Macaca fascicularis: one gene and its partner. The protein of the gene in region 1 binds, or shares a complex with, the protein of each later gene. Links are inferred from orthologs where the notes say so. Each region holds a gene or a part of one and is shown in the gene's direction. Other genes may lie near its edges.

Region 1 (7,707 bases):
GGATTTTGGGAGGACAAGAGCGTCTGAGAAGGGATTTTGGGAGGACGAGAGAGCCTGAGAACGGATTTTGGGAGGATGGGAGAGTCTGAGAACGGATGGTGGGGACGGATGCACGGAAATGTCAGCGAACCCAATGATCCTGAACCCTGCACTTCAAAGCGGATAAAATGGCAACACCGGCCCCCACAACAAAGTCACGCCGCTCAGGCCTTCCCGACGAACTCGCCCCAGCCGGGTGCTCCAGGGGCCTCCGGAGCTCCTGCCGCCGCCCCTTTCCCGGGGTCCCCCAGTCCCCCCAAATCCTCCCCCAAGTCCCACGGCCCCTCCGTCCCCGCGCCCCGCAGGCTCCGAGGCTTCGCGGTGCGGTTCCCTCTGCGGGTCCCGGCCCGGGTCCCCTTCGCCCCCCAGGCCTGGACGTCCCCCTCCCCCAGCCGGCCGAGGGGCGCCAGCGCGGCGGAGGGGGCGGGAGGCCGGGCCGGGGCGACAGCTGGGGGGGCGGCCCTGACCTTCCCGGGATCGCTGGGCGCGGCCGGGCCGTCCCCCTTCCGGGCGCCGCCATAAAGGGGCCTCGCGGGGCTCTGGCCGTGGCCGCAGCGCTCAGCTCCCGCGCCCGACCCCGCCATGGCCCCCCGGCCCCTCCTGCTGCTGCTGCTGCTCCTCGGGGGCTCCGCCGCGCGCCCCGCGCCCCCCAGGTGAGCCGCCCGCCAGGCCCGTCCGCCCCCGGCCGCACCCGCCCCCCGCGCGGCCCTGACCCCGACCCCCGCCCGCCCCCAGGGCCCGGCGACACTCGGACGGGACGTTCACCAGCGAGCTCAGCCGCCTGCGGGAGGGCGCGCGGCTCCAGCGGCTGCTGCAGGGCCTGGTGGGGAAGCGCAGGTGAGGCCGGGTGGGGCGGGGGTCTTGCCGTGGTGCCCTGGCAGCAACGCGCGACCCCCCACCTCCAGGACTAACTCTGTTTTGGGGCGGGGGACAGCGAGCAGGACGCAGAGAACAGCACGGCCTGGTCCAGGCTCAGCGCGGGTCTGCTCTGCCCGTCCGGGTCCGACACGCCCACCCTGCAGGCCTGGTGAGCGCCCGCCCCACCGCAGACCCCACCCCAGACCCCACCCCAGACCCTTCCTTCTGTCCGTGGCCTCCCTGGGTCAGCGCTGGTGGCCACCGGAGGCCCAATTCCAGCGGCGGGGCCGGGGTCTCCAGCCCCAGCCCCAGCCCCCAACCCCGCACGTGCTGTCTCTGCAGGATACCCCTGGGCGGGGCCTGGTCTCCCTGGCTGCCCCCCGGGCCCAGGCCTGGGGTTATGGTTTCAGAACCTGCCGGTGCTGCTGCAGAAGGAACCCTGCGACCGAGATGAGGAAGGAACCCCCTCACCACCTGCCCAGCCTACGAGCGGAGCTGCATTTGGGGTGGTGGGCAGGCTGGGGGGAGAGGGGGAGGGGTGGAACTCGGCACCAATAAAGGAGAATCAGATCCAGACACTGGGAGTTGGTTGTGTCCACTTGGTGTAATCGAGGCAACCCCTGTGTAGCAGGGCTGTCAGATGGAAGGGGGCCCCATCCACCCAGCCGGGACTGTGACCACACCCAGCTGCCCTTTACACCTGGCGGCCACAGCGGGCCCCTCATCCTTATCTCTGGCATCAGTGCCGCCTCCTGTACATCGACTAAGCACCGCAGGGCCCCGCCCCCCCCTTGTCTTCATTAGGAAACAGTCAAGGGCTCAGGGGGAGCCCGGACAGACTCTCAGCTCCTGCAGGGGGGTGGGGGGTGGCGTGTGGTCAGTGTTTCCGGAAGGGGCAGTGGGGAGGGTGTGGAGGGGCCAGGGAGGCTCAGGCGGGCAGGAAGAGGGGAGGGCAGAGGTGTCACCTGGGGTGCCAGGAGTCCACTCTGGCATGAGGACTCCGGACCCTCTGTCTTGTGTGGCCTCAGACCAGTGGCTTGACCCCTCAGAGCCTGTGGCGTATGGAGCGTGCAGGGCTTGCAGGCGACCATGAGGGTACAGTGCAGGGTTGGGACACTGAGCCCAGCCCCAGCCACGAGAGGCCAGAAGCTTCGGTGCACAGGCCTGGAGAGGAATGACTCCACTCCCCGCCTCACGACAGCCCCTTCCTCGCCCTGACCCCAGCCAGTGGCCTCTCCCTAGAGCTGGGGGCTTGCGGGGGCCAATGAAAAGAGCAGGGCAAGTGTCAAGACTCACCTCACCCCCTCTGTTGGGCACCAGGGCTCCCCAGGAGCTCCCAGCTGCCCCCCACAGCCCCGCCTTAGCCTTGGTCACTAAGGCCCTGTCCAGCCCCACCCTGAGAAGCTGGCTTGTCTCTGGGGCAGGCAGGCAGGGGTGTCCCTAGGACACAGTGAGGAGAGTCTCCTCCTTCAGAACCTGCCATCAGGCAGGCAGGGAGGTACTCCCGGGCGAACACCCAGGTTCTGAGCCTCAAGGGTTGGCCTTAGGAATTTTGCCTGAGGTAGAGCTTAGGGGAGGAGCCAAGCAAGGGCAGCCTGGGCTAGGGAGGCAGGTTTCAGACACCCCAACACCAACGGCTTCTCTCCAACACCCTAGCTCTGCCCCTGCCCTGCCCCAGCCCCATGGCGCCCGTGAGCCATTCTCTAGTCCTTTCTGCCCTGTGCCTCAGTGCCTGTGGCCTGAGCCCCCTGGTTAATCCCTGTACTCAGTCTAACTTGGGCCAAATGACTGCCCCCCTTCTGGCAGTGGGCCGGACCCGCCGGCCAGCGGGAGCCCCCTTGGCAGAGGCCGGTTGTAAAGGATCATAAAGTGGGCGGCGTCTGGCTGGGGCGAAGGTCGCTGAGGTAGGAACTGCGCCAGTCCTGGACGCCAAACCCACTCGGACCCTCCCGCCAGGTGACAGCCGCCAAGATGGGGTCTTGGGCCCTGCTGTGGCCTCCCCTGCTGCTCACGGGGCTGCTTGGCCGATCCCCGGGGGCCGTGGCCCAGGTCCAGTGTACGTGCGGGCAGGGGTAGGTAGGTGGGGGCACAGGGCAGGGGGAGCCAGGGGCTGGGAGGCGCTGACCCCTCCTCTGCAACCTTACAGACTGCTCTGTGAACAAGTCCTTCTTTGAAGTCGAGGAGAACACCAATGTCACCGAGCCGCTGGTGGACATCCATGTCCCAGAGGGCCAGGAGGTGACCCTCGGACCCTTGTCCACCCCCTTCGCATTTCGGATCCAGGGAAACCAGCTGTTTCTCAACGTGTCTCCTGATTACGAGGTGTGGGCGGGAGGTGGGTGGGGAGTGGGGGCTCCCGGGAGAAGGGTGCCTGGATCCTCAGGCCACACCTTCCCCGGGGGGCCCAGGAGTTCTATGCCTGCAGGCATCCACTAACACCCATGCTTGGTGGTGCCTGCCCCAGGAGGCTGGGCCCACACCCTCAGCACTGACCACTGATGATGGGGACCCTGGGCCAGCGCCTGCCCCCTTGGCCTCAGTCTCACCACCTGTGGGGCGGGACAGTGACTGCAGACCCGTCTGCCTCCACAGGAGAACTCACTACTTGAGGCTCAGCTGCTGTGTCAGAGCGCAGGCACACTGGTGAGTCCCTGCCCCACTCTCCCCGCCCACCAGGCCACCTCAGCTGGGCTCTGCCCTGCCGGTCCAGGGCCAGTCTCTGATGACCTCACCTAGGGTGTGGTTTCACATGCCATCCCTCCGAGAGTGATGCTCACATTTCCTCCAGTCCAGACTCTGCCCTGAACTGTGGCGTCCCCGTCACTGATCCCTTGTCCAGCAGATACCCCCACCCAGTGTGCCCAAGACTCCCACCCACTCCCTCAACCACCACTGCCCCCACAAGGGAGGCACCTTTATCCTGCCAGCCACTGGAACCACTTTGGTTTCCACTCGCCCTCCCTCCCCACGTCCCCCGCTAAGCTCCCCATTGGTAAATCACTTGGCTCTGCCCCAGCTCGACCCAGAAATCCATCGTCTGCCCACCTCCAGTCCCACCAGGGCCGGGACACCAGCACTCATTTTGGGAAACTTTCAGCCGGCCCGCTGGCTTCCCTGTTGCCCCTTGCCAGTCCCAGTCCACTCCATGTGGCGGAACAGCCTCTGTGGACGCTGTAAACCAAGGCTGCCCAGTCCACCCCAGCCCTCCACAGCTCCTTTCTCACTGAGAGTCAAACCCAGATGTACTGTGCGGAGGCTCTGCTGCAGCCTCAGAGCTCCCGCAGGCACGCTCCTCCCCCACCTGCTCAGGTCTGCAGTCTTCAGAGAAATCCCAACCGCCCTATTAGGGAATAGTTGCATCCCAGCCCCGCTCCCCCGACATCCTACTTCTTGACCAGCGGCATTTTTTTCAGCTTTATTAAGGAAAATTGCAGAATCCTGAGGCCAGCACAGGCCCCCGCCCCCCCCACACACCTACCAGCAGACAGAGGGCTCTGTGCCCACCGCACACCACAGCACATCACCCACATATATCTTGGCATGTGTCTCTGAAAGAGAGGGATGCTTCTTTTTTTTGCGACAGAGTCTCGCTCTGTTACCTAGGTTGGAGTGCAATGGCGAGATCTCGGCTCACTGCAACCTCCGCCTCCCGGGTTCAAGTGATTCTCCTGCCTCAGCCTCCCGCGTAGCTGGGATTACAGGCGCCCACCACCACGCTTGGCTAATTTTTGTATTTTTGGTAGAGACAGGATTTCACCATGTTGGTCAGGCTGATCTCAAACTCCTGACCTGGTGATCCGCCCGCCCCAGCCTCCCAAAGTGCTGGGATTTCAGGCATGAGTCACTGTGCCTGGCCGGGATCCTTCTTTTTTTTTTTTTTTGAGACGGAGTCTCGCTCTGTCGCCCGGGCTGGAGTGCAGTGGCCGGATCTCAGCTCACTGCAAGCTCCGCCTCCCGGGTTTATGCCATTCTCCTGCCTCAGCCTCCCGAGTAGCTGGGACTACAGGCGCCCGCCACCTCGCCCGGCTAGTTTTTTGTATTTTTTAGTAGAGACGGGGTTTCACTGTGTTCGCCAGGATGGTCTCAATCTCCTGACCTCGTGATCCGCCCGACTCGGCCTCCCAAAGTGCTGGGATTACAGGCTTGAGCCACCGCGCCCGGCCTTTTTTTTTTTTTTAGATGGAGTCACCCTCTGTCGCCCGGGCTGGAATGCAGTGGCACGATTTCCGCTCACTACAACCTCTGCCTCCCAGGTTCAAACGATTCTCCTGCCTTGGCCTCTACCCACCTCGGCCTCCCAAAGTGCTGGGATTACAGACGCCTGCCACCACACCCAGCTAATTTTTGTATTTTTAGTAGAGACGGGGTTTCACCATGTTGGCCACATTGGTCTCGAACTCTTGACCTCAGGTGATCTGCCCGCCTCGGCCTCCCAAAGTGCTGGGATTCCAGGCGTGAACCACCACGCCTGCAAGGACTCTTCTTTTTAAAACATAACCACAATGTCGTCACACCTGGGAAAAGTGGTCACTTTCTACCTCGAATGTTCAGGATGCCGCATTCCCCATGGTCTCTGAAGGGTTTTTTTTAACAATTGTTTGTTTGAATCAGGGTCCACGTTATGTACCTAGCTGATAATTCTCCTGAGTTTCTGTTCATCTTCACGTTTCCTTCTCCCATCTTTTCTCTTGGAGATTTATTTGTGAAGAAACTGGGTTGTCGGCTGGGCACGGTGGCTCACACCTGTAATCCCAGCACTTTGGGAGGCCGAGGCAGGCACATCACCTGAGGTCGGGAGTTTGAGACCAGCTTGACCAACATGGAGAGACCCCGTCTCTTCTAAAAATAAAAAATTACCCGGGTGTGATGGCGGCGCCTGTAATCCCAGCTACTCGAGAGGCAGAGGCAGGAGAACCGCTTAAACCTGGGAGGCAGATGTTGCAGTGAGCCAAGATCACGCCACTGCACTCCAGCCTGGGTGACAGAATGAGACTCTGTATCCAAAAAGAAAACAAAGAAAAGAACTGGATTGTCTTTCCTCGCTTGAGATTCTGCTGGTTGCATCCCCAAGTACCTGCATTATTTTTCTGTGGCGCACCTGCCACCTCCTGGCTTTATAAAGTCCTTTTTGTCTGTTGTTGTAAGTCCTGCCAGGACAGGCACCACCGGGCAGAGATTTGTCTCTTGTGATCTCTGCATCCCAGCACCTAGAGCTGTGCAGCCCCCCTGCAGCCCCCCAACACCACTGAGCGAGTGGACGGATAGCTGTCGAGGGGTGCACCTCACTCACGATGGGGAAGGATAGCGTCGAGGGGTACACCTCACTCATGATGGGGAGCGGCTGTGGGAGAGGCTGACGGCCACATCCTGCAGGTGACCCAGCTGAGGGTGTTCGTGTCAGTGCTGGACGTCAATGACAACGCCCCCGAATTCCCCTTTACAACCAAGGAGATAAGGGTGGAAGAGGTGAGGCCAGCGAAGCTGCCAGGGCTGGGCAGGGGGTGCGGGAGCCCAGGGTGAGGGCAAGGGGCGAGTGGTGGCCGGGGGCTCAACCACAGCGGGGGTCCACAGGGGCCAAGAGTGTGGCCAGACCAAGCCCCTCTCCCTCCCTAGGACACTAAAGTAAACTCCACCGTCATCCCTGAGACAGAACTGCAGGCCAAGGACAAAGACAAGGATGACCTTCTGTTCTACACCCTCCAGGAAGCGACCGCAGTCAGTGCCGCCTGCCCTGCCCCAGCGTGAGCCCCTCGCCACTGACACCCGCAGCCGCCCTCGCCCTCCCAGGCTCTTAGGCTGTGTCCTCCCTGATCCTCCCCAGGGTGCCAGTGACTACTTCTCCCTGGTGGGTGTAAACTATCCCGCCCTGAGGCTGGACCGGCCCCTGGACTTCTACGAGCGGCCCAACATGGCCTTCCGGCTGCTGGTGCGGGTGAGCGGCTCACCCCAGCCCTGAGTCCCACATGCTTGAGGTCCCCCTGGCCCCAGCTGCTCCCAGGCCTGATCTGGCTGTTGCAGGACACTCCGGAGGAGAATGTGGAGCCCAGCCACACGGCCACCGCCACGCTGGTGCTGAACGTGGTGCCTGCCGACCTGCGGCCCCCCTGGTTCCTGCCCTGCACCTTCTCAGACGGCTACGTCTGCATCCAAGCTCAGTACCACGGGGCTGTCCCCACGGGGCACACACTGGTAATGGGGAGGGAGGGGCAGTGCCCGGGGCGGGGCCTTCTAGGCAGGTTGGAGGCAGGGACGGCCAGGATCAGAAGAAGGGCAGGGTCAGGGTCAGCGGGTGGGGCCAAGTTTGGTTGTGACTTTGAAACAAATACAGACTCTCCTTATAAACCAATCTTTCCCATCTTGAGGGAGCAAACCCTGAACACACAGAGAGGAGTGTGGGCCCCAGAGCCAGGCGGTCTCAGGGGCCTGGGGAGGTGGGCTGGGGCCCTGGAGTTCTTAAGGGATGGTGAGATCTCTGCCCTGCTCACAGTCACCACTAGGCCCACACAGGCTGTCTGCAAACCTTCACAGCACCAAGGCACCCGGGGCCACCAAACAGCACATGAGAGGCAGAAACGCAGACCCCGGGAACCCCCCGCTTCCTAAATGTCTGCTTAGCCGTCAAGACAAGCATCGTGCAAATGGCACTCAGTATCTTTGGGCAACTTATTCGTTAGTGAGGGACCCACAGGGGTGTGACTCACTGTGATACTGGGACAAGGGACAGTCCTAGACAGGCAGGGATGCCCGGCCACCAGCGGGACTGGGCCCCTCCTCAGCCAGCCCTGCCCTGGCTGACCTTGATGGGGAGCC
Region 2 (7,997 bases), on another chromosome or scaffold:
GATAAGATGAATACACAGTTACAGGCTTCAAAAATAGATATGTCTCACATCAATTTAGTGGACAATTATCCAAATATATTAAAGATTGTGCAACAGTATGGGAATACATTTATGATGGATTAAAGAGTGGAAAAGACGTAACGTAAAATTATATGTATTTGATGAAAACAATGTAAAAAATACACCACAGAAGAACATATGCATAGCTGATGAGTTATGTAAGGATGGTGGTTTCTAATTTAGTTGCAGTGTCTTCAGAGAACATGGTTTGCATGAACCCTGTTATTTGTTATTTGTTGAGAACTGCACTGCTTCTATTCAGTGGTCAGGTTTTATAAATATTCTATGTGTGCTTAGAAAAAACTTGCATTTACTATTGGGCATGGTGTCCCTTCTTCATGTGACTATTAGATCAAGCTTGTTAATTGTGTTCAAATCTTTTTTTTTTTTTTGAGATGGAGTCTCACTCTGTCACCAGGCTGGAGTGCAGTAGTGCTCTCTTGGTTCACTGCAACTTCCACCTCCCGGGTTCAAGCGATTCTCCTGCCTCAGCCTCCCGAGTAGCTGGGACTACAGGCATGTGCCACCACGTCCAGCTAATTTTTGTATTTTTAGTAGAAACGGGGTTTCACCATGTTGGCCAGGATGGTCTCGATCTCTTGACCTCGTGATCCGCACCCCCTCGGCCTCCCAAAGTGCTGGGATTACAGGCGTGAGCCACCGGGCCCAGCCAAAATATTTTATAGCTATACCAATTTTTAGTCTGATATAGAACATGATGATGATGTCTGAAATCTTCCCTTATGATTGTGGTTTTGTTTTTTTTCTGTTTAATTTTTGCTTTCCCTTTTGTGCAGCTATGTTATTCAATTTATACAAGTTTAAAACGATCATGGTTTCTTGATTAGTTGTTCCTTTCATTATCATGTATTCTCTCTCTTTATGCCTAGTACATCTTTTGGCTTAAGCTGTATTTTTCCTTGCTACCAGTACAGGTGATCTTCAACTTACAATGCAAAACCACCATAAGTTGATATAATAACTCAGTTGTGAGCTGAGAAGCATACTAAATTCCTGTCATTTTTGCACCATCATGAAGTTGAAAAACTAGGTCAAACTCTCATAAGTTGCAGACCATCTGTATGGGTACACAAATGTTTTGTTAGTATTTGCTTGCTATAACTTTTCCATCTTTTGCTTTCAATCTTTCTGCAATTTTATATTTTAGATGTGTCTATTATAAACAAGACATGGCTGAGTCTTCCACACTATAAATTTAGTCCATTTTCTTTTGTTTTTATTGCAGATAGATCTGGAAATGTTTTTGGTCTTATACTGTACTCCTTATAGTCATTTTTCTATACTTTTTCTCCTTCCCTTGAGTTATTGATAATAAGTTTAAGTTATTGATTTGAGATCTTTTTTCTTTCTCATATATGCATAAAAAACTACAAATTTTGCCCTAAGCTTTTCTTTAACTGCATCCTATAAATCTTGATATATGGAATTTTCATTTTCATTCTGTTCCAAATATATCTGATCTAGGACTTGTATCCAGAGTATGTAAATAATTCTTATAATTTATTAATAAGACAACCCAATTAAAAATTGGGCAAAAGATTTGAATAGAAGATGTAAGAATGGCTAATAGGCACATGAAAAGATGCTCAATATCTTAGTCATTAGGGAATTTAAAATTAAAGCCATAATAAGACCATTTCACATCCACTAGGATGGCCATAAACAAAAAGATAGGCAATAATAAGGCTGGTAAGGATGTAGAGAAATTGAAACCCTCATATGTTATTGGTGGAAATGTGAAGTAGTACAGCAACTTTGGAAAACAGTCTGGCAACTTCTGAAATTTAAATGTAAATTGCCATGCAACCCAGCAATTTTGCTCCTAGATGTATACGCAAGACACATGAAAATATGTGTCCACACAGAGACTTGTATGTCAGTGTTCATAGCAGCATTATTCATCATTACTAAAAAATGGAAACAACTCAAATATTCATCATATTCATGAAACATTGAATGGATGAAGAACATTTGGTATGTTAGTACAGTGGAATATTATTCAGGAGTGAAAAGGAAGAAAGACACTACTGTTACACGCTATACATGACAAACCTCAAAAAAGTTGTGAATTGAAACAAGCTATACGCTAAAGACTATGTATTGTAGGATTCCATTTATCTGAAATGCCCATAGAAAACAAATCTATAGAGACAGAAAGAAGACTGGTGGTTTCCTGGGATTGGGAGTGGAAATGGGATTGACAGCACATGGCACGAGGGATCTTTAAGGGCTGATGGAAACGGGATTATGATAATGGGCATGCAACTTTATAAATGTTCTAAAATCATTGAATTGTATACATAAAATGGGTAAATTTAATGGTGTTATACCTCAATAAAGCTGTTCTTTTTGGAAAAAACAGCTAGTGAACTACACTAGCTCTGCATTTTTTTAAGAAATAATTTCTTACATCCTGTGCCTAGATGGCCAATATTAACTCAAGAAACTAATGGGCATAGAAAAATTAAATGTGCCTCAAAACACTCAAGATGAATACAGCAGTCTTCAATAGTCAACGTCATGTCTATTTCAGAGAGAAAAGGTCCAAGTTCAGTGGCTTGAACCTTGTTGCCTTCCACGGAAGGAAGCAGTTGGAATGAGCTTTGCCCCTGGTGACACTCTTCCTTGTCACTAATTAACCAGCTCTATAGGAAGGTTGCTCCGCCAACACCCTTCTCTGCCTGGAGAGACATCTGGCCAAGTTCCGGTGAGCAGGAAAAATGTCTACTCGTTACCACCAAGCTGCTAGTGATAGTTACCTGGAACTTCTAAAAGAGGCTACCAAGCGAGATCTAAATCTTTCAGATGAAGATGGCATGACTCCCACTCTCTTGGCAGCCTACCATGGGAACCTGGAAGCCCTAGAGATAATCTGCAGTAGAGGGTAAGTTCAACCCGATGGTTTCCGTTGGAAACAGTGTTCACAGTAGGTTTTTGCAGATAGCAGCAAGAGTCAGGGATGTCAATACAAATACTTTATCCTCTTTCTAGATTGTCTAAATGATTGGATTTTTAGAGAAAGAGAGAAAACTATGCCTAGAGATGCTCTCTTTTCTCACTGAGGTCTGGCAATATGGGAGTGGCTCATCCCTTAGCCCCAATCAGAGGAGAGACTCTGAACTCTAAGGCATTATCTGCATGGGGAAGAGGGAAGATATTTTAATTCTATGCCTTTAAAAATGCTTTTCATGAAATTTAAACAGTTTTCTCTTTTAAAAGAGGCCATTATTTTACTTGGTTTTAAGTTGTCAACCTTGGTTGGAACAAATGAGTTTTTAGTTTTTTGTTTGTTTGTTTGTTTGTTTTTTTATCTATGCCATCAAAATCCCACAGTCTTTTATTAACTTTCAATCCCAGTGCAAGCTCATGATTTTTTTTATTTTTTATTTTTGACACAGGGTCTTGCTCTTTTGAGTGGAGTTGCTGGCTCTACAAGGAATCTTTAGCCTGTCTTAGCTCTATCACTTGTTTGGCTAGTGGATAGACACACACACACACACACACACACACACACACACACACCATCTCTTTGCCCAGATTTTAATGGAGGAGTCAGCCAACTCCTCTGCTTGTTCTGCCTGTTATCAGAGGGCTAGGTTGTGTTGGCAACCATAATGCAAGAGGGTAAAGAAAGAGAAAAGGGCAAGGTAAATAAAGGAGCCAGGTGAATCCAATTCAATATACCCATTTATTCAGTATCTGTTATGTGCCAGCTACTTATCTCTTAAGAGATATTTTGCTAGCCACTGGGCACACTGTGATCAACAAGACGGCCACAATCCCTGTCGTAGTGATCAGATTTGAGAGAGGAAGACAAGGCATCTATGATGTGTGTGTGTGTGTGTGTGTGTGTGTGTGTGTGTGCGCGTGCGTGTGTTTGCTTTGAGACAGGGTCTCACTCTGTCACCCAGGCTGGAGTACAGTGTCGAGATCATAGCTGACTGCAGCCTTGAGCCCCAGGCTTAAGTGATCCTCCCACCTGAGCCTCCCAAGTAGCTGGGACTAGAGGTGTGCGCCACCATGCCCTGCAATTTTTGTATTTTTTGTAGTGATGGGGTTTTGCCATGTTGCGCAGGATGGTCTTCAACTTATGAGCTCAAGTGATCTGACAGCCTCGGGCTCCCAAAGTGCTGGGATTATAGATGTGAGCCACTGTGCTTGGTTCATCTATGATATTTGTTACAAAAGAGGAAACAGAGGGTACTAAACAGGCATTTACCTCAATCTCAGGGGTGAGGGAAGGCTTCCCTAAGGGGAAAGCATTTAAGCTGGGATTAGGAAAATGAGAACAAGTTGGCCAGGTGAAAGAGTGTTTTCCCTAAGATGGAAAACTGTGTCCTGAGAACTAGAGAAGCTGAGTATGGCTGGACATGGCTCGAGTAGGAGTGGGGTCAGGGCAAGTGTGAGAGATAAGACCAGATCACAAACAGCCTTGTCAACTCTGGTAAGGACTTTATCCTAAGGGCCCAGGAAGCCATGTCTTAGGTTTATGCAGGGAAGCTTCCAGAGTAGATTTATGTTTACAAAACTCACTGAGGTAGATGGATAACAGTCGGAGAGAATGTTTGGGGATGTTTTAATGGTTGAGATGAGTTGGACTAGGGTAGTGACATTGGGAATGGGAAGATATAGTTGGATTTGAGTGGCAGTTTGGATGTAGAATCAATAATGATTGACTGGACGTGGGCAGATAAAGAAAAAGGAGGGTTAAGGTCCCAGGTTTTGGATGTTGACACCCTTTATTAAAGTAGGGAACATTTAGGAAGAGTCAGAAGAACCCAGGATTGGGAGAGTTCTCGAGTTGAAGATTGAATGAGGAAGTGAGTGAAGCAGATCTTCCCCATCTCTCTTGTCTGATTAAAACTTTCTTTTCTCAGACACATCGATCCCCATCAGCCAGCCTTCTCCAGTCATCTCATCTCTTCTATGCAGCCTAGGGTTCCCCAGCTTTCTCCATCTACAGAAAGGCTACCTCCTTCCACAAACTGCAAGATGTCAGTTACTTTAAAATCAATGTGTTAGCCTATTCTTGCATTGCTATAAGGAAATGCCTGGGCCTGCGTAATTTATAAAGAAAAGAGGTTTCACCGGCTCATAGTTCTGCGGGCTGCACAGGAAGCATAGGAGCTTCTGCTTTTGGGGAGCCTTCAGGAAGCTTCCAATCATGGCAGAAGGAAAAGACATCTCACATGGCAGAAGCAAGAGCAAGAGAGCAAGGGGAGAGGTCCTAGAAACCAGATCTAATGAGAACTCACTATCATGAGGACAGTACTAAGGGGGATGGTGCTAAACCATTCATGATCCAGTCGCCTCCCACCAGTCCCTACCTCCAACATTGTGGATTACAGTTTGATTTGAGATTTGTTCCCCATGAAATCTCACAGATCCAAACTGTGTCAGCCACTGAGTTTGTCCTCCTAGAAGAGGGTGTGGGGTTCTTCTCAGTCAGGAGAGAGCTCTTGTTCCATTTGAGGACCATTTTGAATAGTAATGCTTAGGTATTCTCTCTCTCTCACCTGTGAAAGCTTGAAATATTCTCTTACAATAACTGTTCTGCTGGTCTTTATTTATTTTTTATTTTTAATAGAGACAGGGTCTTGCTTTGTTGCCCAGGGTGGTCTCGAACTCCTGAGCTCAAATAATCCTCCTGCCTCAGCCTCCCAAAGTGTTGAGATTACAGATGTGAACCACAGCACTCAGCTTGGTTCTGCTAGTCTTTAATTACAAAAGTAACATGAGCTGAACCCAGAAAATTAAACCTTACATATGCACACAAAACATGAAGACAAAATGTCCTATAATGCCATGCTACTAAGATGTATATAGTTCTCTCTATATATAATATAGTGTGTATAAATACATTTTAATATTCTTCTATAAATTTCAGGGACTTTGTAGGACTCTAATCAGCAAATACATTTCTTAGCCAACCCCTCTCCTGGACACACAGTTTGTTTTCCCTAGTTTGAAAAGTGCTGTGATGACTATCCTTGTACATAAATCTTTGCTGACATTGTCTTTTTTGTGTGTTTTTTTGTTTTTTGTTTTTTTTTTTCTTTTTTTTTGAGATGGAGTCTCTCTGTCGCTAAGGCTGGAGTGCAGTAGCATGATCCTGGCTCATTGCAACCTCCACCTCTCGGGTTCGAGCAATTTTCCTGCCTCAGCCTCCCAAGTAGCTGGGACTACAGGCATGCACCACCACGCCCAGCTAATTTTGTATTTTTAGTAGGGACAGGGTTTCACCATGTTGGCCAGGCTAGTCTTGAACTCCTGACCTCAGGTGATCTGCCTGCCTCGGCCTCCCAAAGTGCTGGGATTACAGGCGTCAGCTACCAGGCCCGGCCATATTTTCTTGAGAATAAATTCTCCAAAGTGAAATTTCTGAATCAATTTGCATTTGTGTTTGTCCATTTGTACTGCTATAACAAAATACCTTAGATTAGGAAATTTATAAAAACCAGAAATTTATTTCTTACCATTCTGGCAGCAGGGACATCCAAGATCAAAGCACCAGGAGGACTGGTGCCTGGTGAGAGCCCTGTCTACACTTCCAAGATGGTACCTTGTTGTCGCACCCTCTGGCTGTGTCCTCACATGGAGGAAGGGAAGGAAGGGGCAAAAAAAGAGGCAAATTCCCTGTGTCAAGCCCTTTTATAAGGGTGCCTGACCCCATTCATGAGGGCAGAGTCCTCATGACTCAATCATCTCCTAAAGGCCACACTGCTTAACGCTGTTACGTTGACGATTAAGTTTCAGCATGAATTCTGGAGGGGACACAAACATTCAAACCATAGCAGCATATGTGCAATTTAAAGACTGTGTGTGTGTATAAATGGACATGTTGTCCTTCAGAAAGTGAGTATCCATTTTGGCCAACATGATAGATCCAAAATGATGTATCAGGCTAGGTGTGGTGGCTCACTCCTGTAATCCCAGCACTTTGGGAGGCCAAGGCGGGCGGATCACTTGAGGCCAGGAGTTCGAGGCCAGCCTGGCCAACATGGCGAAACCCTATCTCTACTAAAAAGACAAAATTAGCGTGGTGTGGTGGTGCACGCCTATAATCCCAGCTACTCAGGAGGCTGAGGCACAAATTGCTCCTGAATCCCTTGAACCCAGGTGGCGGAGGTTGCAGTGAGCTGAGATCAGGCCACTGCACTCCAGTCTGGGCAACAGAGTGAGACTCTGTCTCAAAAAACAAAACAAAGAGAAAATGATATATCAGTGTGGCTTTAATGTTCTTTTCTTTGGTTACTGACGAGGTTGAAAATTCTTTTTATGCTTAAAAAGAATTGGCCATTGGAATGCCACTTTTGTGAACTGTGTATTTATGACCTTATTCCACTTTTATATTGGGGTTTTCAACATTTCTCCTTGTTTGATAAAAATGCTTTTGAAAGTTAACAATATCAACTCTTGTCATATAGGTTACAACTACTTTACAATACACAGTTTACATTTTTGACAACAGATTTTTAAATATAAATGTAAACAAATATATATATTTATATATAAGTCTATCAGTCTTTGTGATTCTAACTTTGAGGTCATGACTCAATATTGACTGATCCTTTAGTGCCATTTTTAGTTTCATTTGTTATTTTAAATACTTTATAGAATTTAAGATCTGAATTATGATCTAACTCTGCATTCTCCAAGTGGCTACTCATTTGTTCCAACACAATTAGTTGTTATAGTCTCTCTCTTTCTCCACTAAATTGACATGGTAACATCATTTCTTTCAATGTAATATCAATATCCAGCCCCCCGTTTGCTTATGTTAATATTTATTAAACACTGGCTATGGGTGCAAATATTCTTCTAACCTTGCTTTTCCTAGTCCTTCCTTCTCAACTCCTGTCTTGGATCTAGTAGATCTCAGATTTGTTTTCTTGCCCTCAAAAGCATCTCAGATC

Evidence for each region. The genes of interacting proteins can lie anywhere in the genome.
Region 2: CDHR5 (region 1) and ANKS4B share a complex: the UniProt entries of both Homo sapiens proteins name them as parts of the IMAC/intermicrovillar adhesion complex. The link is inferred for Macaca fascicularis from reciprocal best matches to the Homo sapiens genes CDHR5 and ANKS4B.

Annotation. Positions count from the first base shown.
Region 1 is NC_088388.1:522,842-530,548, reverse strand, and holds the start of CDHR5 (cadherin-related family member 5), read left to right. Parts: upstream 1-2,828; 5' UTR 2,829-2,868; coding exon 2,869-2,953; intron 2,954-3,043; coding exon 3,044-3,219; intron 3,220-3,489; coding exon 3,490-3,540; intron 3,541-6,270; coding exon 6,271-6,363; intron 6,364-6,510; coding exon 6,511-6,612; intron 6,613-6,718; coding exon 6,719-6,829; intron 6,830-6,915; coding exon 6,916-7,086; intron 7,087-7,707. Other genes in the region: SCT (secretin), read left to right, coding at 622-692, 775-876, 974-1,066, 1,240-1,351. UniProt on the Homo sapiens protein: Intermicrovillar adhesion molecule that forms, via its extracellular domain, calcium-dependent heterophilic complexes with CDHR2 on adjacent microvilli. Thereby, controls the packing of microvilli at the apical membrane of epithelial cells.
Region 2 is NC_088394.1:20,667,706-20,675,702, forward strand, and holds the start of ANKS4B (ankyrin repeat and SAM domain-containing protein 4B), read left to right. Parts: upstream 1-2,764; 5' UTR 2,765-2,801; coding exon 2,802-2,965; intron 2,966-7,997. UniProt on the Homo sapiens protein: As part of the intermicrovillar adhesion complex/IMAC plays a role in epithelial brush border differentiation, controlling microvilli organization and length. Plays a role in assembly of the complex.